Saccharomyces cerevisiae S288C: one gene and its partner. The gene in region 2 interacts genetically with the main gene of each other region. Each region holds a gene or a part of one and is shown on either strand. Other genes may lie near its edges. The genes, in order: PKH3 and AVT1.

The links.
Region 1: mutations in AVT1 (region 2) and PKH3 together harm fitness more than expected from each alone (negative genetic interaction), as found in Saccharomyces cerevisiae (2 studies listed by BioGRID).

The regions. Positions count from the first base shown.
Region 1 is NC_001136.10:1,393,046-1,398,382, forward strand, and holds PKH3 (protein kinase PKH3), read left to right. Parts: upstream 1-2,075; coding exon 2,076-4,772; downstream 4,773-5,337. Other genes in the region: SPP41 (Spp41p), read left to right, coding at 1-134; RMT2 (protein-arginine N5-methyltransferase), read right to left, coding at 291-1,529; TLG1 (Tlg1p), read right to left, coding at 4,981-5,337. UniProt on the Saccharomyces cerevisiae protein: Serine/threonine-protein kinase which may phosphorylate the same targets substrates as PKH1 and PKH2, 2 upstream activators of PKC1.
Region 2 is NC_001142.9:435,156-439,416, forward strand, and holds AVT1 (Avt1p), read left to right. Parts: upstream 1-1,646; coding exon 1,647-3,455; downstream 3,456-4,261. Other genes in the region: PRE3 (proteasome core particle subunit beta 1), read left to right, coding at 8-72, 189-771; rRNA-processing protein MPP10, read left to right, coding at 3,710-4,261.

The DNA of each region.
Region 1 (5,337 bases), on a different chromosome or scaffold from region 2:
ATATTCTTGCGGTAAACATGAATAACCTTAACAAAGCACGCTGTATTGAAAAAGATATTCAAGAGTCGTTCAGGGAGGAGAAGTTAGCCTCTTTACAACCAAAGAAGAAGAGAAAGAAAAGCATTTTACACTGAGGTGTTACTAGACATAATTTAGTTCATATGTCCATTTCTGCATAATCATATATACTTAAAGTAGCAAATGTATATAGTTTTTTCTTCCGATTTTCGAAACTAATATTAGTATTGGAAATCGGCCCCTGCCATTGTGCAATTTACATTATTCTATAATTAAGCAAACGTGATACGTGGATGGTAATAATAGTTACAGTTAAAGTAAGACCGCTTAACATCATTCCAATCTGGCAATTGCTCGTCAAGAGAATATCTGGTGTAATCGCATTTCATACCATATGTAGCAACATCGATCTCAACAATTTCTTTATATACATCGTAACACAACGATCTGTCAGCGCCTAATCCGTTGAAAAATGAGAAAACGCCTTCTGGTTTAATTAAACCTACCACGACATCGTATAAGTCCAATATGTCTTGGTAGTGCTCGCTAAATGTATCATAATAAATACCATCAAAGAAAACTTCACCTTTGTCTAATAAATTATTCAACGTATCTTGCCATCTTCCCTCTAAAATAACCACATTATCCTTTTCATACCAACCATCCATTTTCATCTTGGCCAAAACATCTGGATGAGCTTCGCAAATATAGTGACGATATGGTTTTCGAGCTTGGATGAATGTATCGATGATCCCCATTCCAAATCCAATGTTTAAGATCGTAGCAGAATTAGTGGCCTCTGGATCAGGAAATAAGGTTTCGGAAGCAAGTTCCATAATCTTGGTTTCCCAATCCATCATAACACCGTCCTTATTTTCCTTTGTGATAAGCGCATCGTCTTTGTACTCTAGTTCTGTTTTTAAGTACACTTGTTGATTTGCCGCGGTAGCATCGTCATCACTACCAACTGATTCTTCTTTTTGACCATCAACTGCTGTTTGAACGCTTTCCTCAGGCTCGATACCTATTAGTTCATCTGTATCCAAGAATTCGACGTCGCCACCATTGAGTTTTCTCAGTAATAATTCAGCAGACACACCAGCTTCCACGAGCCGTCTATAAAGAGGGCTCTCCCTACTTTGATTTCTCTCTAAAAACAAATCACCCACTGTTTTGTCCTCGTAGTCAATAAAATTCCATCCAGCCCCATACTCAAAAAGAATATTCATCATATCCATCACCACTTGCAGTTCCTCATCCTTGATATCCAAGGGTAGCGATCTTGCTAAAACGTGTAACGGCGTTGTGTTTGAGGTTTTATTGTCGTCAGTGCTCTCTCTGAATTCCTTATCCCCGTTCCTGTTCTTTTCCTCATGCTCGAAGGCTGCGACCTGCTCCAAAGTATATGTAGCCGGTATACCAGATTTTAAGAAATGCTGCAGTTTTGGTACATAGTAACTTTGAGAAATGGGCCTCTCTGGGAAAGTAAGCAAAGCATGTAATTCTGACATACTTGAATATATTAAAAGTCCTTGGTGTAAACACCTAGCCGTTGCAACTGCTGGGTATTGTCAATGTCATTTTGCTTTACGCTTAGCTTAAAATGAGATGAGATGAGCTTTGAAAAATTTTAGAAAAAGAAAGGTGCCATCGATTCTCGCCGAAAAAGGAAAAGAATCGTTATAATCCTTCGAATCCTATATACACTAAACAAATATCTGCATTGGTCAACCCCAAGCACACGTACTGATGACTAGAGATGATACTGAAAGTGTTAACAATATAACTTCCTTACTCGCAGCTAATGTCACATATTGAGGTAACAATGGATCGAAACAATTTTCATGCTTACCCGCGCGGTGATTTCTTGGTAGCGAAGGGGTTTTCATGAAGGCAGCAGAAGAGAGGTACATTGATTTGAAAGTGTGAGGAAACAGAATAATAGTGCCTAAAGCCTAACCCAAGCAAGTAAGCAGTTCTTCCACGTCTTATCTATTCAGAGGCTGAAACAATTGAGTGAAAATTTAAAGAGTAGGTGTGGGACATTGGTATGACATATGACGTCTAGGAAAAGGTCTCCGCACGATTTCATATTTAAAGAGGAACTGGGCCATGGCTCTTACTCTACTGTGTTTAAAGCTCTAGATAAAAAAAGCCCGAATAAAATTTATGCCATTAAAGTTTGTTCGAAGAAACACATAATCAAAGAAGCTAAGGTAAAATATGTCACCATTGAAAAGAATACCATGAATTTGTTGGCACAAAAGCATCACGCGGGTATAATCAAACTATACTATACTTTTCACGATGAGGAAAATCTTTATTTTGTTTTGGATTTTGCCCCAGGTGGAGAACTACTTTCCTTATTGCACAAAATGGGTACTTTCAATGATATATGGACGCGTCATTTCACTGCACAGTTAATTGATGCATTAGAATTTATCCATTCACATGGCATCATTCATAGAGACTTAAAACCGGAAAACGTCCTTTTAGACAGGGATGGTAGACTTATGATTACTGATTTTGGGGCCGCTGCCACCATAGACCCTAGTTTAAGCGGAGATTCGGCCAAGTTTAACTCTGACAGCAACGGCTCAAAAGACAACCAAAATTGCGCTTCCTTTGTTGGTACTGCCGAATATGTCTCTCCAGAGCTGCTTTTATACAACCAATGCGGTTATGGCTCAGATATATGGGCACTAGGTTGCATGATATATCAGTTTGTCCAAGGACAACCGCCGTTTAGAGGGGAGAATGAGCTGAAGACATTTGAAAAAATCGTAGCATTAGATTATCCATGGGGACCCAATAACCGCATCAATAATAGCACATCACCAATAAATCCCCTTGTAATAAACTTAGTACAAAAAATATTGGTGATAGAGGTCAATGAGAGAATCTCTCTCGAACAGATAAAAAGACACCCATATTTTTCAAAAGTAGATTGGAATGATAAAATCAAAATATGGAGAGGAATCTGGCAATCACAAGGACAATCGCTGCAACAAACTACTTTGGGACTCCCAAATATACCGCAGAATATACTACCCACCAGACAATTACATGTAATTGACACTCCAGCACGAAGTATACAAATCACAAAACAAAAACGTAAGAAACCAACGAAAATTTCCAACACTACTAGTAGCATAGTAGTATGGAGAAAAAGGCTTGGTATATCAACAGGTAAGGATGATTTAGGCACCGTACCGTCCACTACGCCTGCAGTGACCGCCCCTAATGATACCAATGTATTAACAAATACGGCGGCACATTCTACTGCAAATATTGCCTTACCGCCTAATTCACAATCCAATCAAGTCAAGCGAGCACAACTAGTTGCACCAAATAGAATACCTCCCAAAGTACCGGTAATTAATGACAACGTGAGAAATAAGTCAATTCCGCGCACAAAGCCTAATGTGCCACCTTTGCAAACATCATCAATACCACAAAAGTTGTCAACATCGTCAGCATCGTCAGCTCTATCGGCGCCGTCAACAGAGATAAGGAACCAGGACTTAACACACACTTTAGATGGAAGAAACTCAATTGATATTCATGTTTTAAAACAAGACTACGTCTTCATTTATGGCATTCCATATGAACACGAAGGGCCTGCTATGTCTTTGAACAGCTACAATAAGATCGATAATGATTTAATTACGTCACTAGTTGCGCAGCATAAAGAAGAATTAAAAAACTCAGAGTCGTTTTTACAGGTATTGACTTTGAAGAAGAGCGGAATGTTAAGTTACAAAAACACAGTTATGGAGGGAAATGATGATCAAGAAAACAAAGAACACCAGATGGCTAATATAGAAGATACAGACTTGTCCATGTACGATTTTGAATTCAATGAGTTGACAAGGAAGGGTTTTTTAATCCTGGAAAAATATAAGAATAGAATATGGTTTATCTCGCTACCTTCATATTCAACGTTATCCAAAATACCATTCAATGCCGTGAAGTCTTCGACAATAAATAACAATGAAAATTGGGTCGATTGCTTTTTCAGAGCAAGACAACTACTAGAAGAAAAGCAAATTCTTGATAAAATCAGTAACGTTTCCTTTGATAGTAAGGCATCGAGTGAACCATCATCACCTCCGCCTATTTCAAGAAAAGAGCGGCCTCTGAGTATAGGAAATAATGTAACAACACTCAGCTATACTGCAAAAAATGGAAGCCAGAACAATGCACCACAAAACGATAATGTTGGAGAAGAAAAACCTTTTCGCATACCTAGTAGTACCAAGGATAGGCCCGGTGCAAATTCCACTCCTTCTTCAAGACATCCTAGGGTTTTGTCAAGCAATAACGCTGGTGAAACTCCGAAAAAAATGAATGGAAGATTACCAAATAGTGCACCTTCTACCAATACATATACCAACGGTTCGGTCCCAGCTTTTAATCATAGGCCTTCTACTAATGTAGGGAACAATAAGCATAATATTTTAACTTCGAAGAAGCAGGGATCATCCGTATTTTCTCCTTCATCTTCTACGACCAAGCCTCAAATCAAAACAACAGGATATCGACAGCCAACACCTTCACCTCCACTTCCGCAAATGGAATTCCCAACTACGAGAGAAAAGTATTCTGCTCCTTCTAACATGGTGATCAGTAGCAGCAGATACGAGGTCTTACATACCCTTAATAACAGCCAAACAAACTTTGATAGGGAAATTGCTAGTAGGGGTGCCTCAGCAGCATTTAGAAGTTTACAGAAGAGTAAGAAAAAAAAATAACACGCTTTAATAATATTTGTGGTTCCTCTACTTCGAAACAAAAAAATATGCACGAGTTGTTGACGATCCAGAAAAACCAACATATAAATCATATCCAAACCCTTGTAGCATTAATATCCGTATCACTTATGTATTCAGAATGCATGTATTTTATATATGCCCAGTATATCTTCGATTGAAGCTCTTCGGCATTAGTGCATTGTATTTTTCAAGCAATGAATGCCAAAACTAATAAAACTATCAAGACGACAATAAGAAGTCCTATACAACAATCGTCGTATTTTTCTTTATTTTTTTCGTAGACCCATTCCAATTGCCTACGACCTCTAGCCAGCTTATTTACAACACCGTCCATACCCTCGTCCATATTATCCAACAATTGTCCCTGGTTCTCTAATTCATCCCCCATTGTTTGAGCTTGAATATGCAAATTTTGCATTGTCTTGTGAATACCATCTAAATGAACATCTTGTTCTCTTAACATTTGTTCCTGAAACGGATTGGACATACCACCATCATTGTTCTCAGCCATGCTGGTGTTAAGTGTTGAATTTTCCACCGTCTC
Region 2 (4,261 bases):
AGTTAACATGAATGGAATTCAAGTGGACATCAATCGTTTGAAAAAGGGCGAAGTCAGTTTAGGTACCTCAATGTATGTATATAAGAATTTTTCCTCCCACTTTATTGTTTCTAAAAGTTCAATGAAGTAAAGTCTCAATTGGCCTTATTACTAACTAATAGGTATCTTATAATCACCTAATAAAATAGTATGGCCGTGACATTTAAGGATGGTGTGATACTAGGTGCTGATTCACGTACCACCACTGGTGCGTACATAGCTAACCGTGTGACAGATAAATTAACGAGAGTACATGACAAAATTTGGTGTTGTAGGTCCGGTTCTGCAGCAGACACGCAGGCGATTGCCGACATTGTTCAGTACCATTTGGAATTATATACTTCTCAATATGGTACCCCCTCCACAGAGACTGCTGCCTCGGTGTTCAAAGAATTATGTTACGAAAATAAAGATAACCTTACTGCTGGTATAATTGTGGCTGGTTATGATGACAAAAACAAAGGGGAAGTATATACTATTCCATTGGGTGGCTCCGTCCATAAGCTGCCTTATGCGATAGCAGGATCTGGCTCTACTTTCATATATGGGTATTGTGATAAAAACTTTAGAGAAAATATGTCAAAGGAAGAAACCGTAGATTTCATAAAGCATTCGCTATCGCAAGCCATTAAATGGGACGGATCTTCCGGTGGTGTTATAAGAATGGTTGTTTTGACAGCTGCTGGTGTGGAACGTTTGATATTCTACCCTGATGAATATGAACAACTATAATAGACCCCAAAAGAACAAATTCTGAGTGATTACTTCTCTTTATATTTGTTAACAAATGCCTCTGGATCTACACTGATATAACATATAATAGTCTATAACCTCTTTCTCTTTTTCTCTTCGCTTTACGCTTTTTTCTCTAACTGTTAGAACGACAAAGTATCTCAGAAGGGAATTTCGTAAGCAAGATATTTTACGACTAATCATTTTTTTGTTGTATAAAAACGTATGTGAGATTGATTCACTAATTCTTCGGAGTCCTGGAAGGCTTACCTTATCTATGCATTCGTACAGTTGTGTGCAATGTTAAAAATGGTGACTGTATCTACGTATCTATAAAAAAAGGTTAACTACCGGAAAATCATTTCTTCTCGTAAAGTGTATATTTAGGTTCGGAAATCATAAACATTGTTTTTTTGTGTTTTTTATTTTTAAATAAAAAGAATAAATATTTTATATTAAAAAATAAATTTTAAAGTAAATTAATTATTTAACACGTGATTAAGTTACTCTAATATAATCCTATTTAATAATTAGTAGAGTTGTTGAGAACGAGTATAATATTATTTTTTTTTTATTTTTTTGTAGGTTCTTTGGCCATCCTAAATAGAATAAGCATCCACAACAACTAAACTGGTATTTTGTTATACACAACGCGTCTTGGTTAGGCATCTGTTTTGTTTTAGCTATTGTTCATCGCGTTTTTTTTTTTCTTATCTCTTTTACCGAGGGGCGAAAATAGCGATAGATCGAGAATATAAATAAATAAAATATTGTTGTGTTGTGTAGTTCTAAAGAAAAATTTTACAGTGAAAAGGTAACACCGGGGAGTCATTACGTAGACTTACGTATTCTGTATAACTGATTCCGAGACGCAAATGCCTGAGCAAGAACCATTGAGTCCCAATGGCCGTAAGCGCTCTGAGGTTCACTATATCTCAATCCCATTGAACAGAGGTTCCGCATTCTCACCAGATGATTCTGTATCACAGTTTCAGTCTGACGGGTTCATGACACGTAGGCAATCCATATTGGACCATCCTGTGGGCTCATTTAAGGGAGTTAATTCTTTAAGTCGATTTGCGACTTCGTTGAGGAGAGCCAATTCGTTTCGTAATATCGAGCTAAATGCGGATAATGAAAGATCCTTTTTCAAAGAGAGTAACGATGAAACCTACGATCCGGATACTTTAGCACCAGCTTTGGACGGTAGAAGATTATCAGTAACTTTAAATAATGCTGGTCGCCCGCGCATTACTAATTTGGCTAACAACGATAGAGTTAGTACAGCCAGCATGGCTATTCACGATGATGATTATGGGTCCATCCAAAATTCAACAATTGGGGATTCTGGGTCAATATTACGCCCTACTGCCTCCTTAACAGAAATGATGAGTGGTGGAGCGGGGAGAAGGTTTACAAATAATGACATGGATTCAATTGTAGTGAAGAGAGTGGAGGGTGTAGATGGTAAGGTAGTAACTCTTCTTGCTGGTCAGTCGACCGCTCCACAGACCATATTCAACTCAATCAATGTACTGATTGGTATTGGGCTCCTGGCGTTACCTCTTGGTTTGAAATACGCCGGCTGGGTTATAGGACTTACTATGCTTGCAATCTTCGCCTTAGCGACATTTTGTACTGCTGAACTTTTGTCTAGGTGCCTAGATACAGATCCAACTTTGATATCTTACGCGGACTTGGGATATGCAGCATTTGGTACAAAAGGGCGCGCACTAATTTCTGCTCTTTTCACACTTGACCTACTGGGTAGTGGGGTGTCCTTGGTGATTCTCTTCGGAGATTCTTTAAATGCTCTATTTCCTCAATACTCCACCACTTTTTTCAAAATAGTTTCATTTTTTATCGTTACACCCCCGGTTTTTATACCATTGAGTGTTCTATCTAATATCTCGCTTCTGGGAATCCTTTCAACAACCGGAACTGTGCTAGTCATTTGCTGCTGCGGACTATACAAGTCGTCTTCTCCAGGTTCATTAGTTAATCCGATGGAAACGAGCATGTGGCCGATAGATCTAAAGCATCTCTGTTTATCTATAGGTTTATTGAGTGCCTGCTGGGGAGGACATGCGGTTTTTCCCAACTTAAAGACAGATATGAGGCATCCAGATAAATTTAAAGACTGTTTGAAAACTACCTATAAGATAACATCGGTTACGGACATAGGTACTGCAGTTATTGGCTTTTTGATGTTTGGAAATCTTGTTAAAGATGAAATTACTAAGAACGTTTTGCTGACGGAGGGATATCCAAAATTCGTTTATGGTCTGATTTCAGCGCTTATGACTATCATTCCTATCGCAAAGACCCCATTGAACGCAAGACCTATCGTTTCTGTATTGGACGTTCTGATGAATGTGCAACACATAGATGAAGCGGCCAGCGCCATAAAAAGAAGAGCTGCGAAAGGCCTTCAAGTATTCAATAGGATCTTTATTAATGTTGTCTTCGTTTTGATAGCTATTAATTTCCCTGAATTTGATAAGATTATCGCATTTCTGGGGGCCGGTTTGTGTTTTACAATTTGCCTAATTTTGCCGTGTTGGTTCTATTTAAGATTGTGCAAGACAACAATCAAACCATGGGAGAGAGTGGCTTGTCACGTAACCATATGTATTAGTGTCGTGTTGTCCACATTAGGTGTTGGTGCTGCAATTATTTCATAATCGACGAGGGGCATACTTACTCTACTTAAAATTCATTTACATTAGCTCTGTACTTCTGATAATGAAAAACCATTGCGTAATATACATATTTTCGTGTAGAATTATTTCCATAAAATATTCACCGCCTTTTCTGTACTGGCCGCCGGCATGCGAGGGAAGCAGAAAATTTTCAATTTTGCGATGAGCTCTTGAAGAAACAGTGTTTTGTTATGAATAAATGATGTGTGCACGAAAGACCCAAGGAAAGTCGTATAATGTCAGAACTCTTTGGAGTATTGAAATCTAATGCTGGCAGAATTATTTTGAAGGACCCCTCCGCCACTTCTAAAGATGTTAAAGCATATATAGATTCAGTTATCAATACCTGTAAGAATGGGAGTATTACAAAGAAAGCAGAACTGGACGAAATCACTGTTGATGGTTTAGACGCCAATCAAGTTTGGTGGCAGGTCAAACTAGTTCTTGATAGTATTGATGGTGATCTAATTCAAGGAATTCAAGAACTCAAAGATGTTGTCACGCCTTCTCACAATCTCTCTGATGGTAGCACCCTGAACTCATCATCCGGGGAAGAAAGTGAACTAGAGGAGGCAGAAAGTGTTTTTAAAGAAAAGCAGATGCTCTCTGCTGATGTTTCTGAGATTGAGGAGCAGAGTAATGATAGTCTTTCCGAGAACGATGAAGAACCTAGTATGGATGACGAAAAAACCAGTGCAGAGGCAGCTAGAGAAGAATTTGCGGAGGAAAAAAGAATTTCTTCTGGGCAAGATGAAAGGCATTCTTCACCCGATCCTTATGGTATCAAT